Linked DNA regions of Tamandua tetradactyla. The protein of the gene in region 1 interacts with the protein of each later gene in a biochemical or structural test. Links are inferred from orthologs where the notes say so. Each region holds a gene or a part of one and is shown on either strand. Other genes may lie near its edges.

What was found.
Region 2: of the proteins of CHEK1 (region 1) and DTL, one has a biochemical effect on the other in vitro, tested with the Homo sapiens proteins (2 studies listed by BioGRID). The link is inferred for Tamandua tetradactyla from reciprocal best matches to the Homo sapiens genes CHEK1 and DTL.

What each region holds. Positions count from the first base shown.
Region 1 is NC_135334.1:11,922,239-11,938,083, reverse strand, and holds the start of CHEK1 (serine/threonine-protein kinase Chk1), read left to right. Parts: upstream 1-7,369; 5' UTR 7,370-7,435; intron 7,436-8,198; 5' UTR 8,199-8,208; coding exon 8,209-8,273; intron 8,274-9,090; coding exon 9,091-9,314; intron 9,315-10,495; coding exon 10,496-10,560; intron 10,561-10,651; coding exon 10,652-10,721; intron 10,722-11,091; coding exon 11,092-11,280; intron 11,281-11,719; coding exon 11,720-11,824; intron 11,825-13,228; coding exon 13,229-13,324; intron 13,325-15,845. UniProt on the Homo sapiens protein: Serine/threonine-protein kinase which is required for checkpoint-mediated cell cycle arrest and activation of DNA repair in response to the presence of DNA damage or unreplicated DNA.
Region 2 is NC_135330.1:70,017,813-70,033,811, reverse strand, and holds the start of DTL (denticleless protein homolog), read left to right. Parts: upstream 1-8,135; 5' UTR 8,136-8,426; coding exon 8,427-8,478; exon of another isoform or gene 8,479-8,586; intron 8,587-15,999. Other genes in the region: INTS7 (integrator complex subunit 7), read right to left, coding at 7,879-7,972. UniProt on the Homo sapiens protein: Substrate-specific adapter of a DCX (DDB1-CUL4-X-box) E3 ubiquitin-protein ligase complex required for cell cycle control, DNA damage response and translesion DNA synthesis.

The DNA.
Region 1 (15,845 bases):
TATCAGAGGATTCCCTGATGGTCAAGTTTAATAGTTCCATATTCTTTCTCTCTTCCCTCAGGGGACTTTGCTAATAATTTTTGATTATCTGCTTAATATACTCTAGAATGTTTCCAGGCATTACAATAATCTATACGGGATTAAAGGAGCTCTTACAAGAGTAAACATGATCGAGGGCATGGCCTATTAATTTGGGTGATCCTAAAGTTTGACACAGTATCAGGCATTCCCTGATGATAAGGTTTAATAGTTCCATAGCCTTTTTCCCCTCCCTCAGGGGACTTTGCCAATAGTTTTTGATTATCTGGTTAAAATACTCCAGGATGTTTCCAGGCATTACGATAATCTATACAGGATTAAAGGACCTCCTTCTCTATGCTCCCTGTGTTTCAGTTGTTCAAATGAGCTATACAGATAGGTTGAATTAGGTTATGCACTACAGAAAATTTCAGTTTCAGATCAAATAAACCTTTCTTCCATTGGTCTCAAAGAATATGTTTGGTTCTAAAATATAGACACTGTCTTCTTTACCCCTATGTTCTGAATTACTTTAATTCCAACCTGTTCAGCTTCATTCTTATCTCTAAATATCAGGTTATAGATATATAAAACAGCCTTTCAAAATCCAGAAATAATAATCATCACTACAGACTTAATGTGTCTGCTCTAAGAACTTAAAACCTAAGCCCCTGTTTTCTTATAAGCATTTTCTAAAAGTGACCATACCATTGTTGTTTTTTTGTTTCTGGCTTATTTTGTCTCACCAAATGTCCCACATGTTCATTCTCATCGTTGAATGCCTCACGACATTGTTCCTTTTTGTAGCAGAACAACCTTCGTCATAAGTATACACCATCGTTCGCCAATCTACTTCTCTGTCAGTGCATCCTTCAGCCATCTGCATTCATTGGGCATCATGTAGAGGGTGCAAAGTCCACAGTCCATCAACATTCTCAGTTTTAGATAATTTCATTGTTCCCAAGAGACATAAAACCAATAAGCACACCCTCGCCAAATAGGAAATCTAAACTTCCTCTTAAGTCTTGTCTCACCCCATTATTTACCTCTGCTGTTGCTGTGGTAGTGCTGATGGTTTCCTTTTTTTTTTTTTTTTTTTAGCATTTTTAAATTGTGAAATATGACATATATCCAAAAAAGCAATAAAATTTGAAGTACATTATAAAAAGTAATTATAGAACAGATTTCAGAGTTTGGTGTGGGTTACAACTCCACAATTTCAGGTTTTTCCTTCTAGCTACTCCAAGACACTGGAGACTATAAGAAATATCTATATAATGACTCAGCAGTCACACTCATTTGTTAAATCCTTCCTTCTCTGTTATAACTTCTCCTCCTTTGATCTTTCTCCCCATCTTTAGGGGTATTTGGGCTAAGTCCACTCTAACTTTTTTATTTGGAAAGGACTATCAATAATATGTGATAGGTGGATGGAACTAGTTGATGTTTTGGAGAGCTTTGCCCTTCTAGGTGTCAGGACTTATCTGGCCTAGGAGCTATCTGGAAGTTATAGGTTTCTGGAAAGTAATCATAGTGCATGGAACATTTGTAGCATCTCAGATAATGCCCTAGGTGTTCTTTTGGGTTGGCAGGAATGGTTTTGGGTTGAGTTTGGCAAACCATGGTAATTAGCAATATCTAGCAGAAGCTTGTGTAAGAGTAGTCTCCAGAATGGCCTGTTCAATCTATTTGAACTCTCTTAGCCACTGCTACCTTATTTTGGTACATTTCTTTTCCCCCTTTAGGTCAAGAAGGCATTGTTGATCCCATGATACCAGGGCCAGACTCATCCCTTATAGTCATGGCCTTGATCGTCAGGAAGACTTTCACCCCTGGATGTCATGTCCCATGTAGCGGGGAGGGTAATGGTTTCACTTACAGAGTTGGGCTTAGAGAGGGAGGCCACATCCGATCAACAAAAGACATTTTCTGAAAGTGACTCTTAGGCATAACTATGGGTAGGCTAAGCTTCTCCACTACAGAAATAAGCTTTATAAGAGCAAACTAAGGTTTGATCAAGGGCTTGGCCTATTGAGTTAGGAGTCCCTAATGTTTGTGACAGTATCAGGGGTTTCCCAGTGGTAAAGTTTAATAGTTCCAATTTTTTTCTCCAGTTCTTCAAGGGACTTTGTCAATACTGTTTAATTATCTGCCCAACATACGCTGGGATATAAACTATGCAGAATTACAAACCTTTATTCCCATTAAGCTCCAGGTGTTTGGGTTGTTGAAACGGGCTATCCAGACAGGCTGAGTTAGATTATGTGCTATAGAAAAGTTAGGTTTTGACAAAATAAACCTCTCTTCCTTTGGTCTCACACAGGCGAAGTTCTAAAATACAGACAATGATGTCCTTACCCCTTATTCTCATTTACCTTAGTCTTGACCAGATTGACTTTGTTCTTATCTTCTAAGTGAAGCCTGATCTCTTTTTTGGTTTCTTTAATAGTCGTTATATGTACCAATATATGTATATGTATATATGTACCAGGTTATATACATATAGAGCACAGCACCTCAAAATCTAGAAATAATGTTTTCAGCTCTGGACTAAATGTGACTGGTATAAGGGCTTACAATCTAAGCCCCAATTTTCTTATAAGTAGTATTTTCTAAGAGAGACCATACATACTTGTTCTTTTGTTTCTGGCTTATTTTTCACTAAATAATGTCCCCAAAGTTCATTCTCCTCTTTGCATGCCTCATGACTTTGCTCTTCTCTGTAGCCACACAATATTCCATCATGTATACACAACAGTTTGCTATTCTACTTCTCTGTCAATGCATCTTTCAGCTACCTCCATGATGGTTTGCTTTTGAACATAGCTCAATAGCATGCAATAGCAGTTTCCCCCCTGTACCCTGGACTTGAACATTATTTATACAAGAATCGAATCCTTTAATTCTTACGAAAACTCGTTCATGTTTCTAGTGGGAGTCAGTGGGACACATAGGTCTATACAACCCTTTTCAATCTTGTTCATCTTCAGTATGATAATAATACTTCTAGACCCACTAGAGAATCACCTTTGCTCCTATCTATTCACTTACATTGGAATTCAACCTCACTAGCTGACGGTTAACCCATCTCTAGCTTCTATGTATCTCTAAGTCCCCTATATTCTGTATTATAAGCCTCTGATTATACCTTTATGCTGGTCATAAAAGTGGAATCAAACAGTATCTGTCCTTTTGTATCTGGCTAATTTCACTCAGCATTATGTCCTCGCTCATCCATTTTGTCATGTGCTTCAGGACGTCATTTTGTCTTACTGCTGCATATTCCATCGTATGTATACACCATATTTTGTTGATCCACTCATTTGTTGGTGTGCATTTGGTTTGATTCCATATTTTGGTGATTGTGCTCCAATAATGCTGCTATGAACATCAGTGTGCAAATATCTGTGTCATTGCTTTCAGCTCTTCTGGTATATACCAAGTAGTGCTATTGCTGGGTCATAGGGCAACTCGATGTTTAGTTTCCTAAGGAACCACCAAACAGTCTTCCATAGTGGCTGCACCATTATACATTCCCACCAGCAGTGCATAAGTGTCCCAATTTCTCCACATCCTCTCCAACATTTATAGTTTCCTGTCTCTTTAATAGCAGCCATTCTTAGAGGTGTGAGGTGGTATCTCATTGTATGTAGTCTTGATCTGCATTTCTATTTTAGCCAGTGAAAATGAGCATCTCTTCAGGTGCTTTTGAGCCATCTGTATTTTCTCTTCAGAAAAATGCCTATTCATATCGTTAGCCCATTTTATAATTGGATTGTTTGTTCTTTTGTTGTTGAGGCCAACCCTCTTTTAATAGTTCAAATACATTAGGCATTCATTCTTAAAGATGTTTCATGTTTTGCTATATTTCTATTTGGATTCATTTACCCTAGGTTTGCTGCATACCTCTTGTCTTGGTGTATTCCTTTAATAATACTGGTCTTTTTTTTTTTCTTTCTAATTTTTGTTGAACTGCCTCTATATGTGTGTGTTAATCCCATAAATTTATCACCTCTAAATACCTTCCTGAGAAAGTGTGTAGAGAAAAGTATTTTGAGCTCTTGCTTACCTCTTCTCATGCTTGATTAGTTGGGTATAGAATTTTAGGTTGAAAATAATTTTTCCCTTAGAATGTTTTGAAGGCATTGGTCCACTGTTTTCTATATCTTCCAAATGTTAGAGAAATGCAATGCTATTCCCACTCTTAGTTTTTTTGTCTGTGTCCATTCCTCCCCACACCCAACCTAGATCTCTTAGGATTTTCTCTTTGTAATGATTTGAAGTTTCCCCAATAATGCGTCTTAGAGCAGGTCATCTATTGTGCTTAGTACTTTGGACTTTTCATTGTGAGAAGGCAGACTCTTCAGTTCTGAGAAATTTTCTTGAGTTATTTCTGAATTCCAATCCCCCCACCTCCTACCCCCAAAAACAGTTATTTGGATTTTCTGGATTAGTCTCCTAATATATTTTTTTTATTAATTAAAAAAATTAACAACAAACAAAACATTAAGATATCACTACATTCTACATATGTAATCAGTAATTCTTAATATCATTACATAGTTGCATATTCATCATTTCTTAGAACATTTGCATTGATTTAGAAAAAGAAATAAAAAAGACAACAGAAAAAGGAATAAAAAAGAGAAAAAAAAAAAGATTATACATACCATAACCCTTACCTCTCGCTTTCATTTATCACGAGCATTTCAAACTAAATTTATTTTAACATTGGTTCCCCCTATTATTTATTTTTATTCCATATGTTCTACTCTTCTGTTGATATGGTAGATAAAAGGAGCATCAGACACAAGGTTTTCACAATCAGAGTCACATTGTGAAAGCTATATTATTGTTCAATCATCATCAACTTAATATTTTTATATTTGCTGTTTTCCAAATTCTATTCTTTCTGGGAGATTTCCTTAATTTTCTAATCTATTTAGTTTTCTTCTTTTCTGCTCTCATATTTCTAATATTGAAGAGCTTTGTTTGAATATTTTTGACATCCTTAATATTAAAAATTTTCTCAAACTCTTGGCTGTTTGTTCTTTTTTAAGAGTGGAACTCTAAAAGCTGATTGGAAGGTGTTTGTTTTGAATGTAGGCTTCACCCTCCTGTGATCTGGCTGTGCTGTTAGAATGGGGATCCCTGGTATAGGATCCAGATCTTTTCTCTTACACCGGTAAGGTTCCCTTGAGAAAGCTCTATCTCCTAACTCAAGGATATAAGCCAGGCTACTAGCTTTGTAGGAATAGGGTGAGAAAAGGCCAAGAGTCTAAACATAATCCTCCTGTTTTCAGTAAGACCTTGGTGCTTGATGCTTCCCAGGTCAGATGCCACCCATTTACCCTCTTTTTTATATCAGCTTTGGGGAGGGGTAGTTACTTGGGTACAAGAGGAAGAACAAAATCTAGGGATTTATTTGCTTTATTTACAATCTTTCAACCTAGTTTTTAGCCATACCTTTACCTCTACATTCTGAATTATTTGGTATCAACAATTCTTGAGCTTTTGGAAATTCTGTGGTATAGAGTTGCTTTTCTGTTCTCTCACTGCTGGCTTTGAGTGATTAAGTTTTCATGTAAGTTATCTTGCATTTAAAAGCTTTCCACTTTATAAAATTTTTTTTCTCATACTCTTCATTCTTGTGGGTTATTGTCTTTTAAAAATTTACTCTTTAGTAATATTTTAGTAAGGTTTCAGAAGGCAGCAGAGGGTATTGTGTATATTCATTCTTTCATATGCTATCTTTAACTGGTATTCTTGCCTGAAATCTGTATTCCTCTTTTTTTTTCAGGCTAAAAAGATAGTGTAATTTCATTCACACTCAGAGGAGCTGTGCATGTCCTTCTCTCTCATAATATTCTGTTTGCAGTTCAGTGAGGAAACTAGAAAAAAGGGGGAAAATAAACTGGAAAAACTTATTACATAAAGCCCAAACTGTGATATCATGGTTAACACTTCATACATAAGCATTATAAAGTGTTCTGTTCTTGACTTTTGATCTTTCAAATAGATGTGTGCACTTTTTTTAAGATGTGTGTACTTCTGATGTAATATATTTTACCTTATTAACAGTATCACAGTCAATAGCTAGTTATGCCAAGAGTATTTGGCCCAATTTGAGAATTTGGGCCAAATACTTGACTTGAGAATTTAATGGCGACGATGATATTTGTGCCTCCAGTTCCTAGTCTAGCTTACTGTGTGGGCTGGGCAGGGTAAGCACCTACTTCAGTTTCAGATTGGTTTTGCTTCTCAAGCAAGTCCCTTTGCCCAGAATATACTTTCCTACTTAAAATGGTTACTCTACCCTTTTCATTTGCGTTGTAAAATATGGTGCAACAGCTTTTTTTTTTTTTAATTTATTTTTATTTGTACATGGGCAGGCACCGGGAATCGAACCTGGGTCCTCTGGCATGGCAGGCAAGCATGCTTGCCTGCTGAGCCACCGTGGCTCGCCCAACAGCTTTTTTTTTTTAATTTTAATTCTTAACATACAAACATTCCAAACATGCTGTACAATCAATAGCTCACAATATTATCACATAGTTGTACATTTATTACCATGATCATTTTTTAGACCATTGGTGCAACAGCTTTTCGGCTTCTACATGCCTAGTTCTTACACATTAAGAACGCAAAGTACTAAGCTATGCAGACATTTTTGCCTCAAAGTAGTTGGACTAACGCGGGTATGGTTTGGGACCTGTTCACTGACAATACACAAGAACACTGGTTTTCCTGACATCCCTTCAAATGACAAAAGAATAACTTTCTTCCTCCAGACCCTTGCCCCCAACTCCTGTGTGGCCATTTCTGATGCTTTTCTCCCACTCCGCAAAAATACGTTTCATTCTTCACAATATCAATTTTCAACAGCTGTCAAGATTCGGGGCTCCAGAATTATCGGTACCGCCCTTGAACGTCTACAAAGCGCTGTGCATTGCTTAGTAGCACACGGTCCTCACCATCTCGTGGGGCAGCCAGGTAGGATGCTCAGAGGTCACGGCCTGTAGGGTCGCGCAAGTTCGGTCAGCCTTTCCAGGTCCCACGGGGTCAGGGCGCTGCCTGCAAGCACGGAGTATTTTTTCGGGAGGCGCTTCGGCCCACCGGCCCCGCCCCAGCCGAGGTTCCCACACCGGCCACCCATTTCACTCTGATCCAGCCAGTGGTCTTTAAATCTCCTCAGCTAAGATCTTCCCCGACCCTAAAGGAATCGAGGTGCAACCGGCTAGAGTTGGGAAGGAAAACTTCTCGGCACCGGTCAATCTTCATAACCGCAGAGACTGTAATCTGCGTTTCCCTGCTCTACGGCAAGGGGCGCGCGCGTTTACGACAGTGTGACGCTACAAGTTTTGGCGGGAAAAGCGTTGCATTCAGATTCCTGTGGTGGCGGCTAAAGGACAACCTGGTGAGGAGGGGTGGCTGATAGGGTGGATAAGGAGGATGGAGAAGCTCGGGGTCTAGATTAATGAAGAGAGGCACAGTAAGAGACAGTTATCGGTGAAGAGCGAGGGGGACCGGAGACAACTCCCGCGGACTAGTCGTTTGGGAGGGTGGTACCAGTTGGGGGGCGGTCCTCATAGTAGAGGGGAACATGAGAGACTGTTCCTCTGCTGATTGGGAACCCCAGAGGTTTGGGCGCCGCCCGTCGGTGTCCCACTCTTTCCTTCCGCTTCCTCGAACGGTTTGACCCCGCCCCGAGCCCCTCCCGGCCCTTAGGACTTAGTGAGGGTGGGATTGGTACTGAGCAAGGGGGGAGGTGGGGCTGAAGTAGTCAGAGTTGTTCTTTACGCGGACACAAATCTACCGTTCTTACTCTCTTCCTCAGTATTCACCTCTCTTACTCCCTTCCCCAATCTCTTCACCATAAGGGATTTTTTGCCCGGTTCCCCAGCTCCTCTATTCAATTTCCTTTAGGATCCGAGAAAGGCGGGGCTTCAGCTTTCAGTTTGCGTGGAAATGGCGGTGGGGTGGGGTTGTGATTTACCCAACAAAGTGCCTAAATTTGGAAAATTTGATTGTAGTTTAAAGACTTAGATAAAACTTGGATGAGATGTAAGGGAAAACTAAGAGTTGTTATTTATAGTTGGGGAATCATGGCCAGGTGAGAGCTCAGTGACTTTACAGGTGATTGAAGCTCACACTTTTTCCATCTTTCCTACCTTTTACAGCCTTGGAGTCATGGCAGTTCCCTTTGTGGAAGACTGGGATTTGGTGCAAACTCTGGGAGAAGGTGCCTACGGAGAGTGAGTCCTTTTACCCTACCTGCACACCTGCTTAGTATTTCTGTCTGTTGTCTTGAGTACATATTCCTTGTCTTGGAGTTGTTTACAATAATACAGTCGTGTTTAGAAAACACACCTTTACATTTAAAAGCCAGTAATTTTGGAAACTGATGTTGTAAATCTTTTGTAAGGATTAGTGTTTTTTTTTTTCCCCATTTAAAAAAAGTTCCTTTAAGAGTTGGAAGAGACTTCTGAAGTCATTGTTTCCCCTTTCACACGTTCCTTCTTGGGTTGTAAACATAATGGTTAAACGAGCAAATAAGCAGACTGTGGAGACAGACTGCCTGGTGTCAAGTAGTCCTTTATCACATACTGGTCATGGTAGCGTAATCTTAGGCAAACTTCTGAATGTCTTTTTGTGCCTCTTTTTCCTCCTCTATTAGATGGCAATAATAGAACCTACCCAATAGGTGGTTAGAATAGTTTGCCAGAGGTATATAGTATGGGATTAATAAGTGTTAGATATGTGATTAAATTAAACAGATAAAAGATGTATATAGGTGATGTGGCCTAGAAGTGCTGTTATCACAATTTATTTTATCAAATGTTTATTAAATGACTTGCCTGTATAGTATAATGACTTATAGTACTTCACATTTCAGAAAGGAATGATATCTGTTGAGAGCATGGCAGAAACTTTTTCCTTGGTTTCTCCTTGGTAAAGAAAATAATGAAGATAAAATAGTTTTGGATTGAGTCATGTTTAATCTTTTGAGGTTTTAAAAGGGCTATAATACAAATGTTTGGAATATTATAACTCTTTCTTTTCCTTTTTAAGAGTTCAACTTGCTGTGAATAGAAGAACTGAAGAAGCAGTTGCAGTGAAGATTGTAGACATGAAGCGTGCTATAGACTGTCCAGAAAATATTAAGAAAGAAATCTGTATCAATAAAATGTTAAATCATGAGAATGTAGTGAAATTCTATGGTCACAGGAGAGAAGGCAACATCCAGTATCTATTTCTGGAGTATTGCAGTGGGGGAGAACTTTTTGATAGAATAGGTATGGTAAAATAGTGTTCCAAATCAATCTTCTAAAAACTCAAGATAATTATTCTGCTAAACAAAGTTCAAAATTTGTGTTTAAATTTTGGGTCTGATATTTGGTCATTCTTTCAGAAGTGCTTATGTAACCTTGAAATTGGAGTAAATTAGCCTGTTTTTTTTTTGACTTTGGTTTAAAATATAAGTGTATATAAAGTCACTGGAAAGAAATTTTTTTTGCACATCATATTTGTGATTTTGATTGGGATTACCGTTTTATAGAGTTTAAAAATTATATACTTCATAAATGCAATGTCTTATTGCCTACCCAGTTTTTTTTCTTTGTAGCATTCTGGTTTCATGAAATCATTGCATACATCCCAAGATCCAAAATAATAGCATATTATTAGATTTCTTCTTAACATACTTATTAAGTAATATAACTGAGAACCTTCTAGGATTAAAAAATATATGTTAAGTAAATTCTGAATTGGTTCTTATATGTTCTATGTTGATTCAAAGGATTATTACTACAGAGCACATAATTACATAAAATGTATTCTGTGGACCTATTCAAAGCAACTGTATTAATACTTGATTACTGTAATTTCTAATATGTATCTTGGGAGAGAGTTGAGAGTAAACTAAATCAGAAGTTAATGAGGGAGATCAAAATATAAAATGATAAAAAAGAACATTTGTGAATAAAACTTTGTTCCTGAAGGATAGGAGAGGTGGTATGTACTTTAAGTCTATTGTTAAATTTTTAGTGAAATTGGCTTAGGTTTTCCCAGGCTTCTGTACTGGCAGTTAGATTTCAGGAGTGGGGAAGATATTGTTCTATCATTAAGATATTGAGGGAGGATTTGAGGGATAATAAATCAGGCTAAGAGTAAGCAGAGGCTTTCTAAGCATGGTTTACATTCTTAATTTGGACAATAGCTTATAATCTCTCTATAATTTTCCCTTGATATATTTCACCATATTACAAATAGGGAAATGAATTATTAAGTATCATGTGGTAGTGGACTCGTGACTCTTAACTTAAGACTGTTTTTGCTAAAGTTTCTTTCTGTTAAAGTACAGTGAGACAAATGTTTAAGCTTAAAATTAAGAGTTGACCATGTGGTTGATGACTGAGTATATTTATCTGAAAAACTAACTTTCATAATTACTTTTTTTTTTTTATAATTCCTATAGAGCCAGACATAGGCATGCCTGAACAAGATGCTCAGAGGTTCTTCCATCAACTTATGGCAGGGGTGGTAGGTACCATTATCTCTTACCTTTTTACTTAAACTTAGCATAGATGAAGTAATTTATCAAATTATGGTGTGTTTTCCCCCTCACTCTCAGATTTATCTGCATGGTATTGGAATAACCCACAGGGATATTAAGCCAGAAAATCTTCTATTAGATGAAAGAGGTAAGTTTGGCATTTTGTCTCTGCTACCAAAATTATTTTAATATAACCATCCAGGGGAAGGACCAAGAATTTACATTACTGAGATTTCACGGCAAAAGAATCTGAAAAGTCAAAGAAATTTAAGAGATTTAGTATAATTGGACTTTACAAGTCCTTTATATAATTGTGGGTGAGACAGAGAAATCTGTAGCTCACGCTTAGATAAGAATAAGAATAATTTGAAGCGGTTTGTTAATGGATTAAGGAAGGGAGATTTCTATTGGAATACCCTGGACTTCAGTCTTGTGCTCTTTGCTCTTTTTAATCTGTAAATGTTTATCTATTTAAAAAACATTTCTATTCAATGCCATCATTTTTTCCTTTGCTTTAGATAACCTCAAAATCTCTGATTTTGGCCTGGCAACAGTGTTTCGGCATAATAGTCGTGAACGTTTATTGAACAAGATGTGTGGTACTTTACCTTATGTTGCTCCAGAACTTCTGAAGAGAAAAGAATTTCATGCAGAGCCAGTTGATATTTGGTCCTGTGGAATCGTACTTACTGCAATGTTGGCTGGAGGTAAGAGCTATTTAGTTATGATAAAATTGCTGTCCTATGGTAATTCAGATTTGTAATGCCAAAATATAGACAGTAAACTAAGGGGATCTATTTATATAATAGCATTTTAATAGTAACTGTTATTTATAACTAACTTGGAACTTTTAACCTCAAAGGTTTTCAAAATGAGGTATGGATGAGTTATTATATGAAAAATCACTGTAGCCATCTCTTTTAAGACTTCATGTCAACACTTTTGGAAAGATTAGGACAGGAGTGGTTCATCCGTCTTTGAGGTGTCTCTAAAGTTTCTGTGAGTTGGCATTCTTAGTTTGTAACCCTGTTGAATTAATTTGTAGGAAACATTTAATGAATTCAAATTATTATTTTTTCTCTCATGAAATAATAATTATATAGTGATATGAACACTCAGAAAACTGGGACTTTTCTCTTTTTGTAGAATTGCCGTGGGACCAGCCCAGTGACAGTTGTCAGGAATATTCTGATTGGAAAGAAAAAAAAACATACCTCAACCCTTGGAAAAAAATTGATTCTGCTCCTCTGGGTAACTGGGTTAACTTGATTGAAAGTGTTTATTGGACAGTGAATTCTAGTGCTATTTGAATTTTTTTAATTTATTTTTTCTTTTTAACTTTTAAACAAATTCACATAAATAATCCACTATCCTTGTAGATAAAATAGAAAACTATAAATAAAAATTTAGGAAAAGAGCACCTGTGTAAATCCAGCACGAGAAATAATCTTTAAAAAATATTTTGATTGCGTTCTTCTAGACTTTGTTGGGATAAATATATTTTAAGTATGAATGTTTTTACAGAAATTGAGATAGTACACATGTTATTTTATAATCTGGTTTTTGTCTTAATGTTCTTGAACATTTTTCCGTGGCTATAATTGCAGGTCTACATCATTCTTTTTAAAGATTATGATGATATTCTGCTGTATAGCTATGCCTTATTGTGCTCATTCAGTTTACTTTATTGGAAATTTAAGTTTTTGCTTAATTTTTCACTGTTACAAAAGAGATACTTAATCTTTACACATGTCTGTAAATCATTTACTTAAAATAAAGCTCTAAAAGTGAAATTGCAAAGTCCAGGGTACATGGAGTTTTTAATTATTCAGTTTATTTTGTCGAAATTGCTTTCCAGAAAGTTCATACCACTTCATCATAATCTCATCAGTTTATTTTAAAAAATGATTTAAAAAAACGTGGTTAAATCTAACAGTGCTGTAAAAAAATTACTCGTTATTCATTTTTAAATGTATTACCAATAAGATTACATACCTTTTATGTATTAATTACCTTTTTTGTCTATTTTTATAGGTTGTCTTTTGCCCATTTTCAACAGGGAATTTTATTGCTTCTTTTATTTTGTGTGAATTTTTTTAGTATATTAATGTCATTAGGCCTTTCCATTTGTTGCAAATATTTTTCATCATATGTCATTTATTTTAATTTTGTGTATGTTACTTTGACATGAAATTTTATGGTTTTAATTATTCACATTTATCAGTTTTGAACTTTGTGGTTTCATACTCTCTTGTCATGTTTAGAAAATAGTTTTCTACTGTTTATGTTATTTAAAAAAAATTCCATATTTTCACTGAATATTTTTGTGGCTTCATTTTTACACTTAAATCTTTGGTCCATTCAAAAATAGTTTTGGTGTTGGGAGATATATGAATTCTTTTTCAAGATAATTATGATATATTAAGATTATTGTTGACTGTGTTACTGTTCCTTAAAAAGTTATTGGAAAGTAAATTTTCCTTACAAATTAAATAATATAATTATTTATCAAATTAAATAATATAGTAGCATCATTCATTCCTTTTCCCAGATATAATATTTAGATATAAGCAGACCAGTAGAAAATGTGTCCCTATGATAAGCACATTTACTTTTCTAATCTTCATGACTCTTGTCTTAATGTTTGATTTTCAGCTCTGCTGCATAAAATCCTGGTTGAGAATCCATCAGTAAGGATTACCATTCCAGACATCAAAAAAGATAGATGGTACAATAAACCACTCAAGAAAGGTAATATTCTTAGAATACAATTATTTTTCTCAGTGAACATCACAAATCAACAACACAAGAGGGGTGCAGTCTCTTTCTTCGTGGAGTTAATAATGTCTAACAGGAAAAATGGAAGTATAAGACATCATTTTAAGTTTATTACTAATTAGAAAGGAAAACATTTGGGTACTATTGTTAAGTATTTGACCAAGACTTAAGGGGCAGAGAATGCTTCCTACCTAGGGAAATGCCATTAAATTTTAAGAAAAACACTTTAAAATCAAAGAGGACCTAGTCGGGTAAGGTGAGTAGTAGATCTGATTCTCTACATTTACAAAGTCTTGGAATTTAGAGAGACTGGTGCAGTTGAGGAACTAGGGCAAGGCCAGTACAGTATGTGCTCTGTCTTCATTTTATCACCAGTGTATAGCACAGGTGTACACAGGCATTTAGTCACTATGTTTTGAGTGTATGACCAATTAGAAGTTTGAGACAAGTCAGAGAGATAGATAGCAGTCCAGTTGTGGGGACATGTTAAGGATTTCAGGTTTTAATTTAAGGCCATTGGGAAACCTTTGAGCGAGTTTAAGGAAATGGCTTGACCATATATGGTCAAGGTTTTAGAAGATGTTTCTGGCTATATGTATTTTTTAAAATTTTTTATTAATTAAAAAAAATTAAAAGAAAGAAACAAACATTCTTAATATATGCTCATTCTGTTCTACATATATAATCAGTAATTTACAATATCATCACATAGTTGCACATTCATCATCATGATCCTTTCTTAGAACATTTACATCAATTCTGAAGAAGAAATAAAAAGACAACAGAAATATAAAACGAAAACAGGAAAAAAAAATTTTACATACCATACCCCTTACCCCTCCCTTTCATTGATCACTAGCATTTCAAACTAAATTTATTTTAACATTTGTTCCCTCTATTATTTATTTTTATTCCATATGTTTTACTCATCTGTTGACAAGGTAGATAAAAGGAGCATCAGACACAAGGTTTTCACAATCACACAGTCACATTGTGAAAGCTATATCATTATACAATCATCAAGAAACATGGCTACTAGAACACAGCTCTACATTTTCAGGCAGTTCCCTCCAACCTCTCAATTACAGCTTGGATAACAAGGTGATATCTACTTAATGCATAAGAATAACCTCCAGGATAACCTCTCGACTCTGTTTGGAATCTCTTAGCCATTGACACTTTGACTCATTTCACTCTTCCCCCTTTTGGTCGAGAAGGTTTTTTTAATCCCTTGATGCTGGGTCTCAGCTCATTCTAGAGTTTTTCTCAATCCCTTGATGCTGAATCTCAGCTCATTCTGGAATTTCTGTCCCACGTTGCCAGGAAGGTCCACACCCCTGGGAGTCATGTCCCATGTAGACGGGGTATATTTTTTAAAAAAATGTTTTTGTTGATTAGGAAGAGGTTAAAAGTGGTATAAGCTTTTTTATATACTTTATAGTTGAGTTGTGAGAAGCTGATAGCTTGAACTAGTTGCTGTAGATGGATTCCAAGGAAATTCAAAAACTGAAATTGATAGGCCTTGGTGATTGTTTAGATGTTGAGAGTGAAGAATGCGCAATCAAGGTTTCTCTCCAACATGACTTCATGTAATTTTTTCATGGTTCTTTTTTTTTTTTTTTACATGGGCAGGCACCGGGAATAGAACCCGGGTCCTCGAGCATGGCAGGCAAGCACTCTTACCTGCTGAGCCACCGTGGCCCGCCCTTTTTCATGGTTCTTGATGGTTTAAATATTCATTTGGATGATCTTTGCATTACCCTGGCCTCACAGTTCTTTGACCTCCTCTGCTCTAGTGATCTTGTTTTTAAGTATCCTGCTTTAACAGTATGTTTTTTTCAGGTTTACTCTGTAGTACCCTGACACCAACAATCCTTTGACTCTACTAGGATTTGTAATCTATTAATTCACTTTTCACTACTCTCACCTGCTTGCCTAGCCTAGATCCTCACGTCATCCTTATCTATCTAAAATTCCAAGGTCATTCATTATGACTCTTTTGCATTCATCCTCAACTTTCTTGCCCCTTCCTCTTTTTATCATACTTACTTGGGAAAACCCAACCACAGTTTAATCCAGTTTCCACCTGTTCTACACATGTACCTACATAGCTGATTACAGGTGGAAAAAAATATGCAACAATGTTCACTTTAAATTCAAGATCACTGATCTCAAGTGGGCCCTTCATGCTGCCTGGAATCATACTACATTTCCTCACTTTTTCACTGGCTCACACTCCTAAACCACTTTTTTATTGTATTTTTTTGTTAATAGAATTTATTTTTTAGAGCAATTTTGGGTTTAGAGAAAAATTGGCAGAAGTATTGAGAGTTCCCATAAACTCCCTCTCCCACTCAGCAGTTTCCTGTATTATTAATGTCTTGCATTAGTGTGGTACATTTGTTATAATTGATGAGCCAGTATTGTTAATACATTAGTATTAATTAAAGCCCATAGTTTACATTTAGAATTCACTCTTTGTGTTGTACAGTTC
Region 2 (15,999 bases), on another chromosome or scaffold:
GGGCAGTTGGATATTACTGACTCTGGACTCCCGGATTTGCAGAAATGGCCAAGCCCTTGTATACTAGTACAGGGGGAAAAGAGGAAACTCTAACCTGGACTGAAACTGAGCAAAAGGCTTTTAAAATGCTGAAACAGGCGTTTGTAAGCGCTCCTGCCTTAACCTTGCCTGACCTGTCAAAACCCTTTCAACTGCATGTTGCTGAAGCCCGGGGAATAGCAAAAGGGGTCCTAACCCAAATATTAGGACCATGGAAAAGGCCAGTTGCCTACCTGTCTAAGAGGCTAGACTATATAGCAGCTGTATGGCCAAACTGCCTCTGGGCCATTGCCACCACTGCTATTTTGGTTAAAGAAGCATCCAAATTAACTCTGGGGCAGGACTTAAAAATAGTGGCACCACATTCAGTCGAAACATTACTAAAAAGCTCCCCTGAGAAATGGCTCTCAAATGCCCAGATAACCCAATATCAAGTACTGCTACTAGATCCTCCAAGAATCTGCTTCCTGAAAGCGATGGCCCTTAACCCCGCCACCTTACTCCCGAATGATGACCCATCCGAGCCCACCCACGACTGCTGCGAGGTCCTGGAATCCCTCAAAAACTTGAGGGCTGACCTCACTGACAACCCCTGGCCAAATCCTGATGAAGAATTATATACAGACAGGAGCAGTTATGTCTTAGAAGGAATCAGGTATGTGGGGGCAGCAGTGGTAACTGCAGACCAGGTCATCTGGGCTCAGGCCCTAGGACATGAGACTTCGGCCCAAAAGGCTGAACTGATAGTTCTGACCCAGGCTCTAAGGTGGGGAAAGGGGAAGGTTGTCAACATCTACACGGACAGCAGATATGCCTTCGCAACTGCACACGTCCACAGGGCACTATTTCAGGAGTGGGGACTTTTGACAACGGGAGGAAAAGAAATAGAAAATATACCAGAAATACTCGCCTTTCTAGAGGCTATCTGGTTGCCGAAAAGGGCAGCAGTTATACACTGCAAAGGACATCAGACTGCCGAAACTCAAATCGCCAGAGGAAATGCCCTGGCTGATAAAATGGCAAAAGAGGTTGCCCAAAAACCAGTGGGGATGCTGCAGATACTTTCTGTCTTACCGAGACAGGTACTGTCAAGCCCTCCAAATTATACTGGCGAAGAAATTAAACTGGGTGAAACTCTGGTCACTAGAACAGATCTGGATGGTTGGAAAATTCTCCCAGACAGGAGAATCCTGGTGCCAGAGCACCTGGGGCACAATTTGGTTGCCCAGGTTCACCAAGTACATACCGGGGCAGTATGAAACTAACTGAACTCTTACAGAGAAATTACTACATTCCCCGACTGCAACATCAAGCCTGGCAGATATCATCCAGATGCCACATCTGCACCCAGGCAAATTCTGGCCAAGGGAAGGAGGTGCCCCAAGGGATTAGAATGAGGGGACAAGCCCCAGGAGAACAGTGGGAAATAGACATCACAGAAATATTACTTGTTCTATATGGATACAAATACCTGCTGGTTTTCATTGACACCTTCTCTGGATAGGCATTCCCTACCAAAACCGAGATAGCACAAATAGTAGTAAAAAACTAGTTTTCGAAATTGTCACCCGATTTGGCCTCTCGACTGCAACAGGGGCTGGCGTTCATCACCCAAATTACCCAATTGTTAGCAAAAATATTAAATATCAAATGGAAATTACATTGTATTTATAGGCCACAGAGTTCAGGGCAAGTTGAGAAAATGAATAGAACAATAAAAGAAACTGAATAAAAGCTCGAGACTGGCGAAAACTGGGTGAGTCTCCTTCCATTTGCCCTCCTAAGGACTAGATGTACTCCCTACGTTAAGGGAATTACCCCATATGAAATCATGTTTGGGCGACCACCCCCACTAATTCCTAAATTGGGGGAAAAGAAAATAGCTGAATTAAATAACCATTCTCTTCTAAAATCATTACAGGCCCTGCAATCTGCTACCCAGCACACCCGAGAACTGAAGACAGCCCATCCGGGACCAACAAACCCTGCCCCTAACAAAGATCTATTTCAGGTGCAGCACGGAGACCTGGTCTGGATTAAAAGGCTTCAGTTAGCCACCTTGGAGGCCCGGTGGACGGGACCCCTGCCAGCAATCCTCACAACCCCAACAGCAGTAAAAGTTGTGGGAAACCGACACTGGATTCATCACACCCAGATCAAGAAAGCTGACCCAGATCAGCTCCCTGGAAAATGGACCATCCAGCGAACCGAGGATCCACTAAAGATAAGACTTTCCAGAAATCCCTCTGGGTCCTCCTGATATCCCTGGTGGGGGTTGCGGAAAAAAAAACCTTCACCAGGTTATAAACTATACCTGGGAACTCATATATAAAATGGTGGATGGAGTAGTGGTAGCTACAACCACCACTTCCTCCTAACCAACCCTCCACTTTGATCTCTGCCAACTGTTTGGACACCTAGGGAAGGGGAGTTATGGTAACATTATCAGATATGGGTGTACTACCCCCATCAGCAAAAAGGCTTATGGCATACCCAATACTATGTCTGTTCTGCAGAGGAAAATTTAAACTGCCAAGAGAAAAGCCAATATTATGGTGCCAACTGGGGTTGCGAAACAATAGCAGAATGGACTAACCAAGACTGGTTCATAACCTTAATAAGGGCTCCAGCCCATAACCCCAACAGTTGCACCCGAGCCACCTGTATCCCAATGATTATTGCTATCCCTTCCTGGCGTATCCAAACCTGGGCGAGTGGAAAAACTTGGGGAATGAGGTTATATGTCTCAGGTTACAACCCAGGCACCAGTTTCACAATTCAAAGGTTCTTTCCCCATAAAACAGACAATCCCATAGGACCTAATCGAGCTCTCAACCCTGTCATTAAACCAGCACAGCCCCCCAGACCCGGGGCCCCACCTCTGGTAGGCTTGAGCTCAAAAGCCTATGCTACCCCAAACTCCCAAATAAATTCCTCTCCCTCCCCTAAAAAACCACTGCTCAACATGTTAAATTCAGTTTTCCAGTTCATGAATCAAACCAATCCACTTATTATTGAAGACTGTTGGCTTTGCTTAAACCCTGAACCCCCTTATTACACAGGAATAGGAGCTAATATCTCCCTAGGCCTCGCAGATACCCATATCAGAAACCTCTCAGTCCAAGAGGCACAAGGCCAACACCTATGCAGGTGGAGAAAGGAACCAAAACTCATCCTAGGAGATCTCCAAGGGCAGGGAACCTGTATTTATTCTGAAAAGTTTAATCTAGGGTGGGCCACAGTGGCTCAGTGGCAAGAATGCTTGCCTGCCATGCCAGAGGACCGGGTTCGATTCCCGGTGCCTGCCCATGTTAAAAAAAAAAATTTAATCTAGCTAAATCTCCCTATAGTGACTCCTGCGGTCTCATCATGTCACTAAAGGACATTTTGACTTCAACCCCGGATGGATGGGACCACCTCCCTGTAGCCCCCCACAGTACTTGGTTTGCCGGCACATCCGGTATTACCCTCTGTATAACTCCCCCAATAATGGCCGTCGAGGAGGAATTTTATATCTTAGTTCACATTATCCCCCAAGTATATTATTATTCTGGGGAAGGGGGTAGGGAACATTTAGAAATCACTTACTGGACCAAGCAAGCCCCAATCTTGGTGCTCTTCCTTGTCAGACTGGGCACTGCAGGATCAACTGCAGTCGGAACTTCAGCCCTTATCACCGGGGACCAAAATTTTAAAACTCTTAGCAAACAAGTTGACCTGGATCTTAGTGAATTAGAAAGCTCCGTCAGTCATTTGGAAAACTCCCTAAATTCACTGGCTGATGTTGTTCTCCAAAACGCAGAGGCTTAGACCTCCTGTTTCTAAAACAAGGGGGGTTACACATGGCCCTCGGAGACAGCTACTGCTTCTATGCCAATCATTCTGGAATAATTAGAAACAGTCTATTCCTAATCCGTAGCAGGTTATGAGAGTGGGAGGAACGCCGGAAAGCTGAAACCAACTGGTATGAAAATTTGTTTTCCTGGTCCCCATGGCTGACCACGCTCTTAATCACCATAACAGGACCCCTAATTCTCATACCATTAGGCTTAATGGTTGGACCCCATATAATAAACTGTCTGAACTCATATGTGCAAAAAAGAATACAAGCTATTAAATTATCAGTCCTTCGAACCCATTATCAACAGATTTATAATCAAAATACAGAAACAATTATTTGATTCTCATAAAACCAGTGGGGAATGTGGGGGGTCAGGAGCAATAAATCAGGCCCTAGCAAGAAGAAGGTATCCGGAGTCACAAGATCCAGGGCGGAAAGTTCCCAAGAGTTAAAAATTGAACAATAATCACTGTTAAGAAACTAAAAGAATGGGATGTATTTTGCAAGAGCTAACGGCATTTTTCTGCTTCAGTAGATGAGCTTGCTTGCTTACAGCTGCAAACCAAGATGTGGCTCTAAAAAGATAATGCCCCTTTCCTGCTTCTGTGGATAAACTTGCGTTTTTTGCCTTTATAAGCCCCCCTTGAGAATCTCTCAGGGCTGCTCTCTGAATCGTCCTTCTTGGGGGTTTCTGAGGCAGTCGCTGGCTGGCTAATAAAGACTCCAAATTGGCTTGCAGTTTTTTAGAATTGTGTGGTCTCTCTTTTGCTGCGCCCCACAACAGTGTTTGCCATTCCTCCACTTTATCAGCTAGGCTTTTCCTGATTATCCTACACAAAATGATAAAATCAACCCCAACCACATACCCAGTTTTCTCTAGCCCCTTTCCCTTGTTTCATTTTCTTTATAATATTTATCATTCTTTGCACAATAAGTTTAATATATTTTATTTTCTTTTTCTTCTTTCTAGAATATAAACTCTATGAGAGCAGGGGTTTTGTTAACTGCCATATCCCTAGCATAAAGCATCATAAAATAAGTAGTGTGTATGAGTGTGTGCGTTTGTGAGAGAAACGGAGCAGAAACTCCTATTAAAATACTTCTGAAATGGTATTATTTGCAACCATAAAAAAAAAAAACACAAAAAATGGACAAAAAGACTTAAATAGACAGAAAATATACAAATGGCCAATAAGCACATGAAAAGATGCTCAAAATTGGGGAATGACATTAGCCATTAGGGAATGCAAATCAAAACCAGAATTAGATACCATTTCATACCTACTAGTAGAATGGCTACTATTAAAAAAACAACAACAGAAAAGTGTTGGAGAGGATGTGGAGAAACAGGAACACTCATTCATTGCAGGTGGTAATATAAAATGGTGCATCTGCTGTGGAAAACAGTCTATAGATTACTCAGAAAGCTACGTAAACAATTACCATATAATTAAACAAGCATACTCAAAAGAATTGAAAGCAGGGACTCAAACAGATATATGCATACTAGTGTTGCAAGAGGCATTATTCAAAACTGCCTAAACATGGAAGCAATGCAAATGGATAACAGACAAATGGATAAATAAACATGATATACAGAAACAATGGAATGATTTAGCCATAAAAAGGAATAAAGTTCTGATACATGCTACAACGTGGTTGACCCCTGAAGATATGTTGAGTGAAATAGTCAGACACTAAAAAACAAATATTGTTTCATCTCACTTCTTTGAAATTAGAATATGCAAATTCAGAGTCGGAAACTAGAACACAAGATGTTGCCAGGGGGGGTGTACAGAATGGGGAGTCAATGTTTAATTCGTACAGAGTTTCTGTTTGGGGGCACTGGAAAAGTTTTGGTAATGGATTGTGGCCATGGTAGCACAGCATTGTGAATGTAATCAACACCACTGAATCATATATTCGAAAGTGGTTTAAATGGGAAATTTTAGGTTGCATATGTGTAATCAGAATAAAATTTTAAAAAAATCATATAACTGTACAACACAGTGGACTCTAATAGTTTTAAGGACTATAGTTAATAAAATGAATTATAGTAATATTGTAATATTGTCTCATCAATTGTAGCAAAAGTTTCACACTAACACCAAGGGTTAATAATACGGAAGATTGTGTCTAAGGGGGCATATATGGAAATTTCAAACTTTCTGCATGATTTTTCTATAAACATACAACTTCTAGAAGGAAGGGGAGAGAGGGGGAGAGAGAGAGAGAGAGAGAGAGGGAGAGAGAGAGGGAGAGGAGAGAGAGAGAGAGAGAAAAAAAAAGAAAAAGAAAGGGAGGAAGGTAGGAAGGAAGAAAGGAAGAGAGAGAAAGGAAGAGAGAAGGATAGAGAGAAGGAAAGAGAGATAAATAGTTTCCTTGCAGTACATACTGGGAAACTGATCCAGAAGTTTGAGAACTAAGAAAATTAAAACTCATAGCCTTCTGAGCCTATTGACTTTTGGCTCACAAAACAAATACTTTCATTAACAAGTGAAAGACAATAGGATTCAATATTTAAAACACCATATGTAAATGAAACTGGCCTTAACATAATTTAAAAGGTGCAGCATGGTGATGTAAGAAAGGACAAGAGTTTTGTTTTTATCTTGTTTTAAATTCTCTTTCAGATCCTGAGACTCATCTAGAACATTGCTAGGAGGATTGAATATATGATCACTTAGTATGTACAACTGATGCCTGATTTATGGTTAAACACTCAATAGTCGGCCATTTACAGATCTAAAATGTTTCTATTTCATCTCTTCTTTAAGAAGGAAAACAATTTGTTAAATTTCTTTTCTTCGCATAACCGCAAATTTTTAGGGATTATGTTTTTCTAGACTGCTCGTTTCTTCTAAGCCCCATCCTGATTCATGTCCTACAACCAATGTCCTACTGTCAACATAGGACAAGTCCCACTGGACCAGTGGTAGAAAGTATCTTTAGAAATGTAAGAGATATTAGATAAAACCGAGACCTGTAACTCTCACTGCGGAATAAGAAAGTATTAGAATAAGGAAGGAAAGATACGGTAGTGTTTTAAGAACAATATAATTTCATAATTTTACATTTCAGTGGGGGGGCAAAAGCTTTTATAAATGAAAGCAAAGAGCAACATCACCTTCTTGGTTGATGGGGATGCACTAAAGATACTGTGACTCAGCCAAAGGACTATTCAATTGAGGTACTGTGACATTTTTATGCTAATCAAAATGATATAAAGGGTCAAGAAAGTCTGAGAAACTCTAATCTAGACCAAAATACTAAAAATGCTTAAATTAAAAGAACCAAACCAAATAAAACCCAAGCCCCCCAAAAGTTAACAGGCATGTCCAAGTTGCATAAAAGGTAAGTGGCTCAAAGCAGTGTTGTGACTTAAAGTCCAGTTCACAATACACGCATACATTAGCTACAGATTATCAAGAATTAACTGTACTACCAACATACAAAATATTTCCCCCAACACAATAAAAAGTCCTTGTAGTACAATAAAACAAAGGTTTCATTTTAATACTTGACTTCTTTACTGATAACTATCCACCTTGTCTTCCATATCCATTTATAAGAAGGAAGGGACATCTTCTTAGCATTTAATACAGACCTCTTTTGCATACACTTAATATTTACAACAATCTTGCCAGGTCATAGGTACTGCACCCACTATCAGTTGTCACTCAGCATTTTTAGAAACTAGCCACTTTAACTATTTGGAAAATCGGGGTACTATGCCCTCAAGTGGTCCAAACAGGGCATCACCAGAGGTCGCTACTTGTTCATCGGTGCAAGGCCAATCAGCGGATCCTGCAGGGTTTCCTCAATTTCCCCCAACAGCCAAAGCTCTAGCCTCATCCAGAGCACAAGGGCAGGGGTTGAGTCCCCGCCCAGAAGGTACGCGCACGCGCCTTTCCCGACGCTCCCCAGGCCAACACCACCTGGGGGCGCCACGTCCCCCCCCACATCTATTTCCCCACTCAGTCCGCTCTTTCGAATACCTTTGTCTAATTCCATAAGGGCAGAGTTAGCATCCAGTTCCTGTTCGCCATAGCCAGCATCTGCCAGGAAAGACTTAGTTGAGTTTGACGCCATGGCCCGAACAGTTTCTTCCCTAACCTATTCATAAAGGTTGCAAACGCTGTCCCAACACCGCCATCTTCTCACACCGCCTTCTCGCGAATTTTTCCGCCGTGCGCTGGCATTCCGTGTTACGCATGCGCCCTGGCCACCACGCGGTTCGCCAACGCCCGTTCAGTCCCCCGCGCAGGCGCTCAGGGAGCTATTGCGCTCCAGGTTCCCGCGGATGGGAGAAAAGGAGGCGGGGATAGGGCGGGAGAAATGACTCTAAGGCGTCCGGACGCCGCGGCAGGAGCCAATCAGAGATCGTTACGTCAGTTTGGCGCGGAGTTTGGTGGCCGGAGCTTGCTGTGGCGGGAGTTGGAGGCACCAACGAGTCGTGTTCTGAGAGGCGCAAGCCACGATTCCTGCTGCACTTGGGGGCATTTCCGCAGGTTTCTTCGCGGTTGAGCCTTCTCCTTCGGTCCAGATGCTCTTCAGTTCGGTGCTCCGCCAGCCCCAGTTTGGCGCCCCGAGAAATGGTAAGTAACGGTCCTAACCGCTGCTTGTTTGCTGGCGGTATCCGTCTTCCGAACACACCTCAAACCAGGGCAGACTAAAATTCTGTTTCCCAACCGACTTTTCCCACGGTAAGAATGAATTAGTGTTGACGCGGACTACTAAGTAAGCTGTACTTTCATTCCCTCAGAATACTTTTTTAAAAATCACAAATATAGGTTGAAGGTGAGAGGAAAGATGAATTAACTGGCCTCCAACGTTCCTTAGGGCCTTAGGTCTGTGTGTTACGCGTTAACCGGGAATCGGCTGCATTTTTTGTTGTTTTTGTCGTTCTCTGTATAATCATATGAGATCCACCAGGACGCCCTGTATTCATTTTGTTTAATTAATTCAGTTGTGTAGAAGCTTACTGAGCCCTTATTTGCTGTGTTTGGAGGGCCACCGATAAATATGACCGGATGCACTGTTAGGAAACTCGGTCACGCAGAGAACGCAGGACATTTCCTGCTGGCAGGGTCCAAATCTCCCCCACCCCCACCCCGATTAATATATGTTCATAAAAATTGGAAATTATTAACTGGACGATCACCATGACCACACCCCCAGACTGTTAATAGGTTGTTTATTCCAGATGTTTTTCGATGCCAGAAATAATACATAGGGTGCTTATTTACAGAGATGAGATCAGAATGTTTTGTTGTTCACTTTAGTGGCTTAACTTGAACATATTTCTATGTTAGTGCGTAGAAATCCAGTTTATTCCCTCAGTTCCTCCTTGACAAGAAGAGTTTTGAGTTTCAATTTGGATGTCATCTACCTGAAACTTTCTAATAGGGAATTACTACCCATTTAAAAGTCGAGTGTACAGGGAGTCTATCATTTCCTTGAAACCATTTGAAAAACAAAAAATGTGAGAAGAGAACCTTCTATGTTTTAAGTGGTAGGTTTAGGAAAAGAAGGTTGAGAAGTAATTCCTCAACAGCCCGCTCTTAATTTAAAACGTTATGCCATCCTTACCTACTCCCCTCTTAGTCTTTTAAATTATGTTCTGTATGTTTCCCTTGTCATGAGTGGCAACATAAGGCTTTGTCTTTGGAGTTAAACAGCCTGTGTTCTAATTCCAGCTCCACTCCTTACTATCTGTGTTGAGACAAGCTATTAATATTTACCCTGTATTTTGTGATGAATTTTCTCCTAAATCTCCAATCTATCTGTCTACTTCTTCCACTTCCTCTTTCTCTTTCACAAATATTCATGCATTGCTATGTTAGGCACTGCAATTTGTGGGACCATCGCCTATCCCTTCAATTTGGTATTCCAATCTTAGCCCCTTTTCCTCTTCTACCCACTCCTTTGGATAATCAGAGCAATAACTGGGGCATCTTCCACTACTACCTATAGCCTTCCAGATCCTATGCTCTTTTTAAAAAAATTTTTTAATGTTTTTTTATTGTGAAATATATATACAAAGAAAAGAAAGAAAAAGCAATAGTTTTCAAAGTACATTTTAACAAGTAGATACAGAACAGATTTCTGAATTTGTTACGGGTTTTCATTCATTCCACTATTTCAGATTTTTCCTTCTAGCTGCTCCAAAACACTGGAGGCTGAAAGAAGTATTAATATAATGATTTAGCATTCATACTCATTTGTGAAATTGTATTTTCTTTGTTATAACTCCTCCTTCAATCCTTCTCCTGTCTGTAAGGGTCTTTCGGCAATGCCCATTCTGATTTTTACATTTTGAGAAAGGGTGTTGACAATGAAGGATAGGGGGATGTAATTAGTTGATAATTTTGGAGAGGCTGATTCCTCTGGATTTCAGAAGTTATCTGGCCTAGGCACCCTCTGGAGGTTATAGATTTCAGGAAAGTAAACTTACTGCATGAAACTTTTATAAAATCTCCATTAGATCCCTAGATATTCTTAAGAGTTAACAAGAATGATGTTGGTTGGGGTTTGACACAACATGGGAATAGGCAATATTTAGCTGAAGCTTATATAAAAGTAGCTCCCAGAATAGCCTCAGTACTCTATTTGAACTCCCTGGGCCACTGAGTCTTATTATGTTGCACTTCTTTTCCTCATTTTGGTCAGGAAAGTACTGTCAGTCCCACGGTGCAGGGCCAAACTCATCTCTTAAAGTCATGTCCCATGTTGTTAGGAAGACTTCCCCCCAAAGGTTGTGTCCTTAGTGGGGAAGTAATGATTTTCCTTGCAGATTTGTAGACCTTAAGCTTTTGACTCATTCTTACAACAGCTGTGTGGATATCTGCACTGAGCTCGTCAGTCTCATAGCCATCTAAAACTCACACGCCCAAAAACTGAACTCATTACTCCCTCAAACCTGCTTTATTTCCTATTTTAGAGAGTGTTCCCAGTTTTAAACCAGTCTTCCCAACCAGAAACCTGGCAGTAACTCTTCACCCCATCTTGAATCTGTTCTAGCTTTACCATGCCATTTCCCTACCTTCTTATCTGTACTGTTTCTCAATGTTGAGAAAGGCAAGTTTCTCAAATGGCCTTAGTTTCCCCCTCTCCAGTTTTTTCTTCAGATTGTTGTCATAGATCATTCTAAACTAGAAATCTGACTACTCTTCTGTGCATTTTCAAGTTGATAAACTAAAATTTTTTATCATAGGTTTAAACAGATGCAAAGAATATAATTTCTGGCATATTGTGAATACCAACATCTAAAAATAAAAATGCTGCCTCAGTCTTTTAAATGTGTCTAGTAGAATATAAACACTACAGTGATTTTTTTATTAATTTTTTAATTTTTTTAAAATACCAAAAAACACCAAACAAATTCAAACATTTTGATCATTCCGTTCTACATATATAATCAGTAATTCACAATAGTATCACATAGTTGCATATATATCATCATGATTATTTCTTGGAACATTTGCATCTATTCAGAAAAAGAAAACAAAAAAATTCATACATACCATACCCCCTACCCATCCCCCTCACCAATCACCAGCATTTCACTCTAAATTTATTTTAACATTTGTTCCCCCTATTATTCATCTTTATTCCATATGTTTTACTCATCTGTTGATAAGGTAGATAAAAGGAACATCAGACACAAGGTTTTTACAATCACCCAGTCACATTGTGAAAGCTGTATCATTATACAATCACCATCAAGAAACATGGCTACTGGAACACAGCTCTACATTTTCAGACAGTTCCCTCCAGCCTCTCCACTACATCTTGACTAACAAGGCGATATCTATTTAATGCATAAGAATAACCTCCAGGATAACCTCTCAACTCTGTTTGGAATCTCAGCCATTGACACTTTATTTTGTCTCATTTCTCTTTCCCCTTTTGGTCAAGAAGGTTTTCTCAGTCCCCTGATGCTGATTCTCAGTTCATTCTAGGGGTTTTCTCAATCCGTTGATACTGAGTCTCAGCTCATTCCAGGACTTCTGTCCCACATTACCAGGAAGGTCCACACCCCTGGGAGTCATGTCCCAGGTGGACAGGGGTAGGGTGATGAGTTTGCTTGTTGTGTTGGCTGGAGAGAGAGGCCACATCTGAGCAACAAAAGAGGTTCTCTTGGGAGTGACTCTTAGGCCTAATTTCAAGTAGGCTTGACCTATCCTTTGTGGGGTTAAGTTTCATATGAACAAACTCCAAGATTGGGGACTCAACCTATATCTTTAATTGTCTGCACTGCTTGTGAGAATATCAAGAATTCAGCTTGGGGAAGTTGAATTTTCCCCCTTTGTCATCATTCCCGGCAGGGGACTTTGCAAATACTTTTTTATTCACTGTTCAAATCACTCTGGGAACAACCAACAAAATCTAATGTCCTACTCAAGGTTCCTTGAACTTATGCTGTTCAATTAAGCTGTCTACATAAGTTGTATTAGAAAATGCACTAGTCAAAATAAAAATTTTGTGCCAAATAAACATTTTTTGCTTTAGTCTCATACATAAAGTAAAATTCTTAAATATTAATTACCATCTATTTTCAGCACCCTGCAGTAATGGCGTTCCTTTGTTCTTCCTCATGCAAAAACATTTTTTGAATTTGTACATTTAGTCACTTATCATTGTGCACTCTAGGCATTCCTAGATTATACCATCTCAGTCTTTATTGTCTTTCTGATTTCATTTGTGCCCCCAGCCCTCCTCCCTCTATCGTTCTCACATTCAGCTTCATTCAGTGTTTTAACATAATTGTATTACAGTTAGGTAGTATTGTGCTGTCCATTTCTGAGTTTTTACATTCAGTCCTGTTGCACAATCTGTATTCCTTCAGCTCCAGTTACCTAATATCTTCCCTTATTTCTACCTCTTGATGGTCTCTATTACCAATGAAATTCTCCAAGTTTATTCACTAATGTCAGTTCATATCAGTGAGACCATACAGTATTTTTCCTTTTGTTTCTGGCTAATCTCATTCAGATAATGTCCTTAAGGTCCATCCATGTTGTTATATATTTCATAACTTTATTCTGTCTTACAGCTGCATAATATTCCATTTTATGTATATACCACAGTTTGTTTAGCCACTCGTCTGTTTATGGACATTTTGTATGTTTCTGTCTCTTCACAATTATAAATAATGCTGCTATAAACATTGGTGTGCAAATGTCTGTTTGTGTCCTTGCCCTCATGTCCTCTGAGTAGATACCTAGCAATGGTATTACCAGGTCATATGGCAATTCTATATTTAGCTTTTTGAGGAACCACCAAACTGCCTTCCACAGTGGTTGTACCATTTGATGTTCCCACCAACAGTGGATAAATGTGCCTCTTTCTTCACATCCTCTCCAGCATTTATCATTTTCTGTTTTATTGATAATGGCCATTCTGGTGGATGTGAGATGATATCTCATTGTGGTTTTGATTTGAATTTCTCTAATAGCTAGAGAAGTTGAGCATCTCTTCATGTACCTTTTGGCCATTTATATTTTCTCTTCTGAGAAGTGTCTGTTCAAGTCTTTTTGCCCATTTTGTAATTGGGTTGACTGTCTTTTTGTTGTTGAGTTAAACAGTCTCTTTATATATTCTAGATACTAGACCTTTGTCTGATATATCGTTTCCAAATATTGTTTCCCATTGTGTAAGCTGTCTTTGTACTTTCTTGACGAAGTTCTTTGATGTGCAAAAGTATTTAATTTTGAGGAGTTCCCATTTATTTATTTTTCTTCAGTGCTCTTGCTTTGGGTGTGAGGTCTAGGAAACCGCCTCCTAGTATAAGATTTATAAGATATTTCCCTACATTTTCTTCTAACAGTTTTATGGTCTTAGATCTAATGTTTAGATCCATTTTTTTTTTTTTTTTTTTTAAGTATGGGCAGGCACCGGAAATCGAACCCGGGTCCTCGGGCATGGCAGGCAAGCATTCTTACCTGCTGAGCCACCGTGGCCCGCTCTTTGGATCCATTTTGAGTTAATTTTTGTATAGGGTATGAGATATGGGTCCTCTTTCATTCTTTTGCATATGGATATCCAATTCTCTAGTCACCATTTATTGAAGAGACTGTTCTGTCCCAGGTGAGTTGGCTTGACTGCCTTATCAAAAATCAGTTGTTCATAGATGAGAGGGTCTATATCTGAACACTCTATTCTATTCCATTGATCAGTATATCTATGTTTATGCCAGTACCATGCTGTTTTGACCACTGTAGGTTCATAATATGCCTTAAAGTCAGGTATATGAGACCTCTGACTTCATTTTTTTTTCTCAGGATACTTTTAGCTATTTGGGGGCACCCTGCCCTTCCAGATAAATTTGGTTATTGGTTTTTCTCTTTCTGAAAAGTAAGTTACTACAGTGATTTTATAATCAAATCTGTTTTTTTAATTTCACAGAATTTATAATATAATTTAATTTTCTGCTTGAGAAGTTCTTTTATTCTTGATCATATTCCTTTGTTTCAAAAATGTATTTAAATTAATGTTTTTTTGTCATCATAAGGCTCCATGTGTTAAAGTTTCCTCTGGTTTGAATAATTAAAATTAGTATTGGAATGCAATTGATTAAAACAATGTTGATTACCAATTCTTGATAAGTAATTTTTTTTTAAAGAGATGGATTTCAGTGAGTGTTTATGGTGCCTTTATTAAAGGAATTATGCAGTTGTCTCTTAGTTAGGGTCCCAAATTTTATACCTTGGGTCAATGCAAAGTATAAGATCAGTTGGTACGTATACCTTTCTTTTGGAATGTGAAGAAAGACACTGATGAAAGGGGGAGTAGGGAAATAGGAGAGCCTTAACCTTCTTGGACAGATCAATTTCAGAAATGTAGAAGTTGAGTGTCTGGAAATTGATTCTCTGAAAACTCTTCTCCTTTTGTGTAATCCTTGGAAAATCTGCGCTTAAACCCGGGGACTTAATTGTACATTGAATAAAGAATGTGTTTTTCCAAATAAGTGTTGTGGAAAAAAGCATTCTCCACATACTCAGGAAACACTATAGCACTGTAATGATCCCAAAGTAGTTCAAAGTGGTAGGTAGATGGAATGTGTATTGTGGGGAGTTTTGAAATAGAGGGGCAGTGAAGACCCAGTCATTAACCTACTGGATTTCGATATTGGTCTCTGGGCCAGTGAGACTAAGGGGTCACTGTTTAGATGTAGGAAATTATGTTTCCAAAGCATATCATCTTCAATTTCACTTAAATTGTTTGAGTTTCAGCCCTTCTTGAAATCATGGGTTGCAGTCAGTAGATTATTTTGTTTTATCCCAAACCACAAATATACATTTACATAACCTTTTGTAAAGAGGTTTTTATTTTTACAGTTCATTCTGTAAATGGATATATGTGAACTCTACAACATAACCACTTACTATATTGCTTCTTTAGTGGTCTTTAAAAACTTGTTTCTAAGGATATGTAACCTTGAAATTGTGAGATAATATTCCCAGGAATAATTACTAAATCTGGATTAAATTTCATTGTCTCCTTTTCACTAATTCTTTCCTGTTATCTCTATGAATATTCAACGCTAGATTTGTATGAGGTCATGTCAGGCTAAGATGTCTTCTCCGAATAGTACTTTTTGATTATGTGAGAATTGCAAGTGCCCTAACATGAGAGAACATAAAAGAACTAAAATCTAAGTCAAATTCTTCTTTTTGAGGGATCACGTTTAGAGGAAAACGTGATCCTTCTGTTGGCGTCAAATAGTATTGTTTCTCCTGCCCCAAAGGTTGTTATTATTTATCATGAGCATTTTGTATTGGTTTTCTTAATACTGCTGGAATGCAATATACCAGAAATGGAATGGCTTTTAAAAAGGGAATTTATTGGGCGGGCCACGGTGGCTCAGCAGGTAAGAGTGCTTGCCTGCCATGCCCAAGGACCTGGGTTCGATTCCCAGTGCCTGCCCATGTTTAAAAAAAAAAAAAAAAGGAATTTATTAAGTTGAAAGTTTACAGTTCGAAGGCCATAAAATGTCCAAACTAAGGCATCCGGGAAAAGATACCTTGACTCAGGAAAGGGCAGATGATGTTCTTGGTTTCTCTGTCATCTGGGAAGGCACATGGCACATGGCAATGTCTGCTAGCTTTCTCTCC